Cricetulus griseus: one gene and its partner. The protein of the gene in region 1 binds, or shares a complex with, the protein of each later gene. Links are inferred from orthologs where the notes say so. Each region holds a gene or a part of one and is shown on either strand. Other genes may lie near its edges.

The links. The genes of interacting proteins can lie anywhere in the genome.
Region 2: Rbl2 (region 1) and Lin52 share a complex: the UniProt entries of both Homo sapiens proteins name them as parts of the DREAM complex. The link is inferred for Cricetulus griseus from reciprocal best matches to the Homo sapiens genes RBL2 and LIN52.

The regions. Positions count from the first base shown.
Region 1 is NC_048596.1:166,738,594-166,744,166, forward strand, and holds the start of Rbl2 (retinoblastoma-like protein 2), read left to right. Parts: upstream 1-2,227; coding exon 2,228-2,461; intron 2,462-2,838; exon of another isoform or gene 2,839-2,919; intron 2,920-3,120; coding exon 3,121-3,251; intron 3,252-5,131; coding exon 5,132-5,332; intron 5,333-5,573. UniProt on the Homo sapiens protein: Key regulator of entry into cell division. Directly involved in heterochromatin formation by maintaining overall chromatin structure and, in particular, that of constitutive heterochromatin by stabilizing histone methylation.
Region 2 is NC_048598.1:119,314,137-119,319,790, reverse strand, and holds the start of Lin52 (protein lin-52 homolog), read left to right. Parts: upstream 1-2,272; 5' UTR 2,273-2,478; coding exon 2,479-2,509; intron 2,510-5,654. Other genes in the region: Aldh6a1 (methylmalonate-semialdehyde dehydrogenase [acylating], mitochondrial), read right to left, coding at 1,835-1,891.

The DNA of each region.
Region 1 (5,573 bases):
CAAAACTGTAAGACCCAGTGATTATTTGAAAGACTTGAGGCAGGATAGCTAATTATGACAGAGAGGGGGCATGGAAAGGGGAAGAGCCCCATTACTCTCCTGATCTGACTTTAGTTTACTTCAGGCTGACACTCAGATATATAGACATAACAAATCAGGCCACCTTAGAATGAACCAAGCTCCCCTTACAGAGAAACATCACAAATAAGAATTGGTTTTAATTTATTCACTTATTTTTAAATTATGTATATGTATTTTGTGTGTGGGGGGGTATGTGTACATAAGTGCAGGTGCCATAGATGCCAGAAGAGGCTCCTGTTTGTGAGCCTGATGTGGTTACTTGATTTGAACTCAGGGGGAAGAGCAGCTAGTGCTCCAGTCCACAAGTTTGTTGAAATGCCTAATGGATGATGTCTTAAATCCAATGTCCTTGTACTTATGTAGAAGTAAGTATCCTTTTGGTAAGTATTGTGTGTGCAAGTGTGCACATGTTTCTTTTTTCTTTTATTTATTAATTATGTATACAACATTCTGCTTCCATGTATATTTGCACACCAGAAGAGGGCACCAGATCTTATAAGGGATGGTTGTAAGCCACTATGTGGTTGCTGGGAATTGAACTCAGGACTTCTGGAAGAACAGTCAGTGCTCTTAACCTCTGAGCCATCTCTCCAGCCCCAAGTGTGCACATGTTTGAGTGCATTTGTGTGCATGTTCAAGTTCGTGCACACGTGTGTAGAGGTACATGTGCTTGTGGATGCACATAGGTCTGGAGGCTAGAGAACAACCACAAGTGTTGTTCTTCTGGTCCCTCTCTCTTTTTCAGATTGTGTGTGTCTCTCACTGGCCAGCAAGCCCCAGGACTCTACCTGCTTATGTCTCCCCACTGCTGAGACTAGAAGCCAACCCACCACTCCTGGCTTTTTAGTTCCCTGCCTCCTTTAAACATGAGTTGTAAGCATTGAATTCAGGTGAGTGTTTCAGCCCACTGAGGATCTTCCCAGCCAATGTGCTTATTTCTACTAGATTCTCTTCTCCACCTTCAAGCCCATGCAGTGTGCCTTAACAATTTCTTTTCCAAGAGCAAATTCTCTGGATAAGAAAAATCAGCACATCCTTTCTCTCATGTTTAAGCTCGGAGATTAAGCTGCTTTAACACCCCTCATCACACACGTATAGCTGCTGAGCCCCTTGAGTGTATTCCTCTCCTAAAAGGCACAATGGAGTCTCCAGTCTTGACGTTAGTCAGTGGCCTGGATAACTGTGTTTCATTGTGACCGGTCCCAAAATGCCTTTCCGTTGTAGATGTCAAAGGATCAGCTTCCCCAAACCCAGGTTCTGAGAATGCTCAGTCTGCACTGCCGCCATATTTAGTTGCATTTCTTGTTGCCAGACCTGACTCACACATTACCAGTGAAAGGCCTGGAAATTAGGGGTATCATCAAGATATCAATTCAGTAAGTGTGATGTCTAATACAATTTTTAAATTATTTTTGAAAACACACTCGTGATTACTTGTTGGTTGATAGTGTTTTGGCTTTTGATTAGTGAGATCGACTCTTAGGCCAAATACCTTTGCCATAGTTAGTGTTGACACAGGAGTTTAACTTGAAGCATCCTCTCTGTTGAACTGGCTGTTCGCCATCCATTGGCAGGTGGGGGCTGTCTGAGCTAGCCAGTAAACAGAGTCCTGCTTTTGCCTCCCTCAGTAATGAAATAAGCCCTTTCCTCCTCGGGTTGGTTTCAGTCAGTGTTTATCTCAGTAACAGAGAAAGAACGAGAAAAAGCAGCGGAGCTATCATCTTTACTTTGGACCTTTCATCTTTACTATCATCTGAGGACCTCTAGGTGAGGAGCGAAGTGTTTGGATACTTGAGCTTCTCCTGTCGGCATTTCTTGTGGTCCTTTTCTCTTCAAAGGAGCCTTCTGAATGGTCTGATTGTTGAGAGATACTTAAAACGGGAGGGCGCGTTCGCTTGCCCCTAAATGACTCAGAGCTAGCTTTGCTCTTTCTTGTTCCTCGACTTTTGGTCCCCCTGAGTTCCCAGCCGAGACTACATTTCCCAGCAGGCTGTGCTCAGAAGGACGGGTGCCCGCATGGGGCCAAAGGCCTCTGGGGGCGGCACAGTCGTGGTACAAGCTGCTGACCGGCGGGCGCTTTGCGGTTTGAATGGCTGCCGGCCCGGGCCCTCAGCTCATCTGAAGAGCCGCGGCCTCGGGGAGCGCCATGCCATCTGAAGGCAACCAGTCGCCACCGCCTCCTCCTCCGGCAGCAGCCAGCTCGGAGGAGGAGGAGGAGGAGGATGGCGACGCCACGGACGGCGCGCAGCCCGCGGAGTCCCCGGGCCCTCAGATCGAGCAGCGGTTCGAGGAGCTGTGTAGCCGCCTCAACATGGACGAGGCGGCGAGAGCCGAGGCCTGGGGCAGCTACCGCAGCATGAGCGAGAGCTACACGCTGGAGGTGCGCGCGCAGACCATCCGGGGAGGTCGGGGGACTCGGTGTGGCTCTGGGGTCGCTTGGTTGGTTGCATTGCACCATTGCCTCCGCCCTGGCTTTGCAGCCGTCAGCGGAGAGGAGTTAAGTTTTGGGCTTGCTTACGTGTGACAACGGTTTAAGATTTGTTATTCCCTACTCACCTCCCACCCCCGGCAGTTGAAAACCGGTGTAGACACACAACATTTGTTGTTGAGCTCTGACACTCTTTTTGGCTGTCATCCAACTATAGGTTTGTTATGTTCCGTTCTTGGGACGGGGCTTGAGGTTGACAAAAATGGCCATTCGGGCCAGTGCCTGTCAACTCTACAGGCACCTCCCCTGCATGGGCCAATAGGAAGTGACACGGAAGTACGGATTGTTTATCAGCTGCCTGTGCGAACGGCCCTTTTATGAACAGGTCCACGATCTGAAGGCTAAGCAAGGTGTTATTTAACTATAATATGGTGGTTATGTCTGTGTCGTTCTGCTGAGTTGGTGTATTTTGATATATATCTTTTAATCTGTTCACACATCGAATTCCCCCCTCTCCATTGTTATAGCACAGAAAAGAAATACGGCGGCATCAGACCTTAAGGATCTGAGTGACTCTGGACAAGTTTTTAAGCACTGCTTTCTTTTTTCAGGGAAATGATCTTCATTGGTTAGCATGTGCCTTATATGTGGCTTGCAGAAAATCGGTCCCAACTGTAAGCAAAGGGACTGTTGAAGGAAACTATGTGTCTTTAACAAGAATCCTTCGATGTTCGGAGCAGAGGTAACTATATTCGAGCTTGCAAAGTAGAATGTAGCTAAAATGAAAATCTTACAAATCATACAGGTAATGAAAATTCTCTTCGTTTACTATTTTCTGAGCATCTAACATGTGGATTGCTGAATTTAGAAACTGAGGGTTTTCCTTTACCATTTCAGAGTCAGGATCATATTTTACTAACTTGAGTATATTTGCATTTTAATGAATTAAAGGTTATGCCTCATTGTATATTATTAATATAAATTTAAATAAAGATATTGAGGAGCTTTTGAAGATACTATGGATCAAAAAGGTAAATAAAATGTCAATTATGTGGCTTTATGTTTAGACACTTGTGTTTTAATGTCCATGAAATGTGTAGACTTGAAGCTGCAGAGTCTCTGGCCCTAAAGAAACCCATACACACACACACACACACACACACACACACACACACACACACACAGAAAGAAACAAAGAAAAAGAAGAGAAAAAAGAAACTCCTACACACATACTAATATGTTTATTGCACCATTTAATAATTCATGATTTTTATACATATATGAGTGTCTGCATGTATCTGTGTATACCACATGTGTTCCTGGTGTCTGTGAAGGCCAGAAGAAAGCAAGGATCCCCTGGAACTGGAGTTACAGGTGTTTGTGAGTCACCATATGGGTGCTGGAACACACCTGGGTTCTCTGCAAGAGCAACAAGTGCTATTAACCACTCACACCTCAGCAGTCCTCCACAATTTTTTTTTTTCCGAGACAGGGGTTGTCTGTGGCTTTGGAGGCTGTCCTGGAACTACCTCTTGTAGATCAGGCTGGTCTCGAACTCACAGAGATCCACCTGCCTCTGCCTCCCGAGTGCTGGGATTAAAGGTGTGAGCCACCACTGCCCGGCTCCTCCACCATTTTTTTAAAAAGAAAATTAGAAATAACCTGAATTTCTTGTGATTGAGTGAATGCAGAGATATATGTGTTCATAGGAAGGAATGGTTTCCATCATTAAATACATGAGTTAGATATTTCCATGTATTAATATTAATGAATCTCAGAAACATTAAATGAAAATTAAGTTGCAGAATGCTACTTACGATGCATTTTACTTAAAATGTAAAAGAAAACAAGATAGTTATTTTTATGAATATATGTACAAAAAATTAACTTCAGAATGTGGGTTATATTGGTGGGAAGTAGAAAATGATATTAGGAGATGTATAAATTGAAATTTTGGCTGTTTCTATATTCATTTTAGTGTCTTATTTTTTAAAAAGTTTTAAGATGAATTTTATTTTATGTGTATGAGTATTTTTCCTGTATGTATGTACAAGCACAAGTGTGCATGTTTAGTGGCTACGGAGGTCAGAAGAGGACATCAGATCTCCTGGCACTGTAATAAAAGATGGTCATAAGCCACCTTGTAGGTGCTGGGCACTGAGCCGAGGCCCTCTACAAGAAAAGCAAATACGCTTAGCTGCTGAACCGTCTCTCCATCTCCATAGTTTTAGTATTTAAAGGATCTGAGCTGGGGCTGGTGAGATGATGCCAAGGGTTAGAGTTCCTGCCACACCCAGCAGAAAAATGTAAGTGATAAGTGGACCATGATTGAGGAAGGCACTTACCATCAATTTCTGGTTTCCTGTGCATTTCCACACACCACCTACATGAACATGTATACACACTAAGAAATCAAAACTATCATAATCTGAACAAAGTAGATTAGGAGGGTTGGAGTAAGAAGACAAATGGTAGGAGATAAAGTTAATCAAAGGCATGGCTTTGATTTTATGTCATTGTCAGAATATAATTTGATGAAATGATTTTGATTTACTGTTAATTGTATTGGCATAAAATCACCTTTATGTTATTAAAGTACCTCATTTTTATTTTTAATATCAGCTTAATTGAATTTTTTAACAAGATGAAGAAGTGGGAAGACATGGCAAATCTACCCCCACAATTCAGAGAACGTACTGAAAGATTAGAAAGAAACTTCACTGTTTCTGCTGTGATTTTTAAGAAATATGAACCCATTTTTCAAGACATTTTTAAATATCCCCAAGAAGAACAACCTCGCCAGCAAAGAGGACGGAAGCAGAGGTAGGCTTCTGTGTGTGTGTATGGTTCATCACTCTTCAAAAGGCACACATTTTCAGAGATCACTCTTCCCAAAGAAGTTGGGGTTTTTGTTTGCTTTGAGACAGGGTCTCACTATGTAGACCAGGCTGGCCTCTAGCTCATAGAGATCTGCCTGCCTTTGCCTCCCAGTCCTGGGATTAAAGACTTGTGATACCACGCCTGGCTTAAAATGTTTTTTGTTTGTTTTGTTTTATTAAATGAT
Region 2 (5,654 bases), on another chromosome or scaffold:
ATGCTATTGTACTGTGTTGCTTTTCATTTTCTTCTTCAATTGACCTCCTCACTTCCCCTCTTGCTCTCTGGCTGGTTCCCTTCCCAGGCTGGTTTTGAAGTGGGAGATTTTCCTGCATCAGTTTCTGCTGGGCCACCATGCCCACTTAGACTAGCCTTTATCAAAGTGTCATGCTACAGTAATTCCTAATTGTCTAAGAACTATTTCTGGTCTTTTTCCAAGTCAGTCCAGAGGTTTCTTCAAACTGGTATATATATCTGTTTCAAAAATAACAGGCATGGGAAGAGAGTTTTTGCTCCTTTGTGCAAAGGACAAAATATCTTAAGGTTCTCAGTGATTCATGCTGATAGGAGTAACATGATTGGGGGTTGGGGGCAATTTCCAGAAAGGATTTTAAGGGGTTGGTAATGGAACTATGTAGACTGGAAACATTGTCCCTGTTACTAGAAAAAGATACCAGAATAGAACTAGGGGAGTAAAGTCATGCCAACCCTCTAAGGCCAACTCATTCCTCACACTGTCCCATTAAACAGCATATCCAAACCTGAACCTTTGTCGACTCCACCAATAATCTAACAAATGCACATTTTGCTGCAGAACTCATAGAAACCTGATGAACAGAAATAAAATTTTATGTATGTGCAACAGTATAGAGGGCATCCCCAGGCTGGATGAGTAAGAAGGAGACAATGTTGCTTAATGCAGGATTATGAATCTTTTTTTTTTTTTTTTGGTTTTTCGAGACAGGGTTTCCCTGTGGCTTTGGAGGCTGTCCTGGAACTAGCTCTTGTAGACCAGGCTGGTCTCGAACTCACAGAGATCCACCTGCCTCTGCCTCCCAAGTGCTGGGATTAAAGGCGTGTGCCACCACTGCCCGGCGGATTATGAATCTTGACAGTAACAGTATCTTGCCTCATGCTCTAGATCCTTGCTAAGGTGAAAGCTCACAAAAGGGTATCAACAAAGCTGGGGATCATAGGCTTGAAGCTTCCATAGCTCTACAACTGCCCTTAGGCAGTCTTCTTTGGGGTTCCAGTCCCAGTCTGGCAGAGTGGGAGTGTGTTTGCATTTGAGGAGCTGACTTTGGGAACATGTCTTCCTAGGCTCTCATTTTCTACCACCTGTTTGGGAAATATTTAGTCCTTTGAATGAATCAGTATTAGCATAACGTGCCCTTATTTACCTCCAAACGTTAACTTTGTTGAGAAAGTTTAACTTGGCCCAGAGCTTGTGAAAAACACTAGGAGCCATCATAGTTTGGGAAAACAGCTAGCAAATGGCTGCCTTTGATGTGGAAACCTAGGGTACATTTCTAGGCGATTCAGAGTTCCTTCGCACGACCCTAGTTGCACGACCCTAGTAGCACGACCCTAGTGAGCTCCCCTCCCTCCTCCCCTTACCTCAGATTATGTACAGAGGTTGGGTGGGGGAAGGGACACCCCTAAAATAAATTACTCTGAGAAAGGTGACCAAAAGGGGGGAGTTTCTGGGGAACAGAGGTGGCTGGTGCAGAGGTGAGAGACCGTGGGAGGAACCAGAGAGAGAAAGCAAGCCAAAGAGTGACAGTGGGCACTGAGCCGAACTGGAGGTGGGTGGGTCAGAGCCAGAAAAGGAAAGGCTCAGGAGCAAAAGGAGGGAGAGCCAGGCGTGACAGTCTGGGGCTGGATGCAGGGCCAGAGACAGTACAGAGTGACAGCCGGACACTCGGGGCTGGTGGAAGAGGGTCGGCAGAGGGGCTGGGACAGTAAGTCTGTCCGGCAGGAGCATGGTTTAGAGACGGGGCGGTAAGGACCCATTCCTAACATCATGGTCCCTCGTCGCCACCCTCACTCGCCTGCAGGATCCGGGTCCGCACTGCCGCCGCCGCCGCCGCCGCCGCCACCGCCGCCATAGCGCAGCACTTCTGCCTGGTTCACGAGCCAAGGCTGCCAGAGCCTCCCAAGAAGTCACACCGCTAGGCCACGCCTTCCACACGGCCGGGCCTTGCCATTGGAGGAGAGGGCCACGTCTCGTAACCAATCGCTTGTCAGAACTCTTGACTCCCACCCGTCCCTCCCAGTCTTGGGACTATGTGATTGGTCAGAAGAGGAAGCGTTCTCGCCCACTCTCACCCCAGCCGATTTTTGTTGGCGGAGAGCGGGAGACGCCCCCACCCCGACTCGGTCCTGCATATTAAGCACCAAGCGGAGCTGGGGAAGACGCCCCCTAACCGGGAGCTCCGATTGGCTACAGGTAGGCAGCCTCGAGGCCTCGCCCCCTCGCTAAGGAAAGTAAATAAGGCCCGTGGAGAATTTTGCCTGCGTTCCACCTTAACTACGGCGCCCCGGGCGGGGCTGCCTTCTGGGGTGGGACTAGGCAAATGTTACCCTATGGGCTAGGGCAGCAAGACCGGGTCGCGAGTTGAGGATAGGTTATTTCTCCAGGGGCGTGGCTTGTGGGTCCTCGCTTTCCCGCCGACGGTTGGCCACGTCACGTGACATGGGCTGGAAGATGGCGTCTCCCACGGACGGTAAGAGCCGGCTTGGAGATTGTTGCCCTGTAGTCTCTTTATTTGCTTCTCTGGGAGCTTCCTATGCCTTCACGCTTACCCTTCTTTCTTGGGCTCCTCTCCTTGCTCTCCCACTTCTTTCCTTCCGGGTATGTCGGGTTTTCAGCCCGCAGGGTTTTCACAGCGTCCCCGGAGGTGCCAAGTACCAGGTCTCCCCACTTGCTGGGTGAAGGAGGCCACCAAACAGACCCTTTCCCGGAAACAGGACAGAGTTCGGCCTGGCCCATCGGTGATGCCGAGGGCTCAGAAGGGGCTTCAGGGGAAAGGCAGCTTTCTTTTCGGATCCGCTCCTTGGAGTGTCGGTTCTGATCTCATCTCAGTAGAGCTAGAAGGAGTCTTTGAAGTCCTAGCTGTGGCTGGTGACTGACGTGAGGTTTCGAGTTCATCCCTAGGTCGAGAAACACGCTGTCTCCTTCTCAGTTTAGGTCCGTTGCCCTGGCAGCAGGAGAATCAAGGACCTGGTTTCCTGGCTCTGAGTCCCGAGGGAAATGAAAAGTAGTCTTGTTAATATAGTTTGTAGCGTCTCACACTCTTATTTTTTTTATGTGTTGTTTCCGTAGCCTGAGAGCAGGAGCAATTCTGCTTACATGACATCTAAGATGCAATTCATCTTAGGTGGCAATTAAGTATTTTCGTTATACCTGTATGCTTTTGCTCGAGGTTCTGTTTCAGGATTTGGAATTGCCCTTCAGTCATTATTCAGTATCTCAGTATATTCATTCTCAGCATAGTTATTTTGTTTTGGCCACAACCTAATTATAAGTTTCAAGTCTGTCTTATTTCAGAGTTTAATCCTAGGTTTTATCCTAATGCCTGCAAAGCATTTGGCCTTAAGTTAATGTTTCTCAAAAAATGAAACTGGCCTTGGTGTGTGACCTCTAATCCTAGCTACTTGGGAGATCAAGGCAGGAAGATTGTTGCTTCAGGCTTGCCTAGGTTACAGAAGGAATTGTGGGCAAAGTATGTCTCAAAAAGGTGGGGTTTTTTGTTTGCTTGTTTTTCTAGACAGGGTTTCTCTCTGTAACCCTGGCTACCCTGAAACTCATTCTGTAGACCGTGCTGGCCTAGAACTCAGCCCCTCCTGCCTCTGCCTCTTGAGTGCTGTGATTAAAGGCATGCATGACCATCCAGTGGATCTGACTGACCTCCATGGGCATCAGGCAGGCATATTGTGCCCATAACATTCAGACAACAGCAATACAGATAAATAAATCTGAAAATAAAAAGTGAGTATATAGGTTAGTGGGAGAGAGCTTTGCCTCTGATGAACAAAGCCCTACGTTCAGTCTCTAGCACACATCTAAACTAGTGAAAAGTAGGTGTTGGTGGCGCTCGCCTTTAATCCCAGCACTCGGGAGGCAGAGGCAGGCGGATCTCTGTGAGTTCAAGGACAGCCTTGTCTTCAGAGGGAGTGCCAGGATAGGCTCCAAAGCTACACAGAGAAACCCTGTCTCAGAAAAACAAAAAACAAAACAAAATAAACTAGTGAAAAGTAAATAATTCAAAGGGTTTTTGCTTTTAAAGAATCGGGGTTCATGGTGTTGTAATGTCTCAACATGGAGAGGATTGGGAAAGAACATAGTGGGTTTAAGGGGTTTTCCCTACATGTAATACAGAAAGACATCAAGTAGCTTCTTGGACATGTTATTCTGAAGTTCAGGAGAAAGGTTGGGACTGGAAATATGAATAGTTGTTGTTATGTAATAGTGAGAGTTGTAGCGAGTAAAGCTAGCATAGGGTGAGGTTTGAGTGGAGACTGAAGAAGGAATAACTAAGAGAAGAACCAATATGGTGGTTTCATAGGAGCATAGAAGCATCACATGCTATTGAGAGGTCACAGAAGAAATGATTTCACATAGAGAACTTTGATAACTGTAGTCTAATGCATGCACAGACAGATCATGATTTTGTTTTATAGGTTAAGGAGGCAGAGTAGGGTCTGGGAAGGTGGCACAGTATGTAAGCATGCTTGCTCTTCAAAGATGAGGACCTGAGTTCAAATCTCAGGCACTCACTTAAAAGCTAGGTATGGGTGCATGTGCCTATAATACCAGCATCTTGGACAACAGAAACAGGTGGATCCTGAGAGCTTGCTGGCTAGCCAGTCTAGCTAGCTTCTGGTTTAGTGGGAGACATTGTGTCAAGACAATAAATCTGAGAGCAAAAGGAATACATTCAGCATCCTTCCTGATCTTCACAGTCACAGACACCTACATCTGCACTCATTACACCCATACAGTGAGTGCCCTCTCGAGCACATGCATGCTCACACACAGAGGAATGTGAGGTGTGGAAATAAGAACAGGATACCCTGGAGGGAGGTTGTGAGTTTAAGGGGAGAGACTGCATGTTTATAATGTTTATGTGTGTGTCTGCACTCAGACATGCATGTTGGTACCAGTATATGTGGAGTCTAGTTAACCTTAGGTGTAGTCCCTCAAAAGCCACCCACCTTGTTGAAGTAAGACCTTTCATTGGCCTGAAAGTAGTAGGCTAATGGCTAGCCAGCAAGGTCCAAGAACCCCTCAGTGCTGGGATCACTAACACTGCTACCTCATTTTTTTTTTTTTTTTTTTTTTTTTTTTTGGTTTTTTGAGACAGGGTTTCTCTGTGTAGCTTTGGAGCCTATCCTGGCACTCACCCTGGAGATCATGCTGGCCTCAAACTCACAGAGATCTACCTGCCTTTGCCTGCTGGAGTGCTGGGATTAATTGTGTGCGCCACCAACGCCTGGCAACCTCATATTTTTTTCATGTAAGTTCTGGAGAGCAAACTCAGGTCCTCAGGTTTGCTCAATAAGCAGTTTACTGACAGATCTTTCACAAACTGCCCCCCACCCCCACCCTCCTTGTCTTTTTTTTTTTCAAAGGAGGGAAATTCTGAGCTAATGAGATGGCTTATCAGGTAAAAGAACTTGTCACCAAGACTGCTAACCTTGGTTTGAGCCCAGAATCCACATGTTGAAGAAGAGAATCAACTTCAATTTTTAGGGCACAAATATGAACCCAATAAATATTATTTTACAGCCGGGCGTTGGTGGTGCATGTCTTTAATCCCAGCACTTGGGAGGCAGAGGCAGGCGGATCTCTATGAGTTCGAGGCCAGC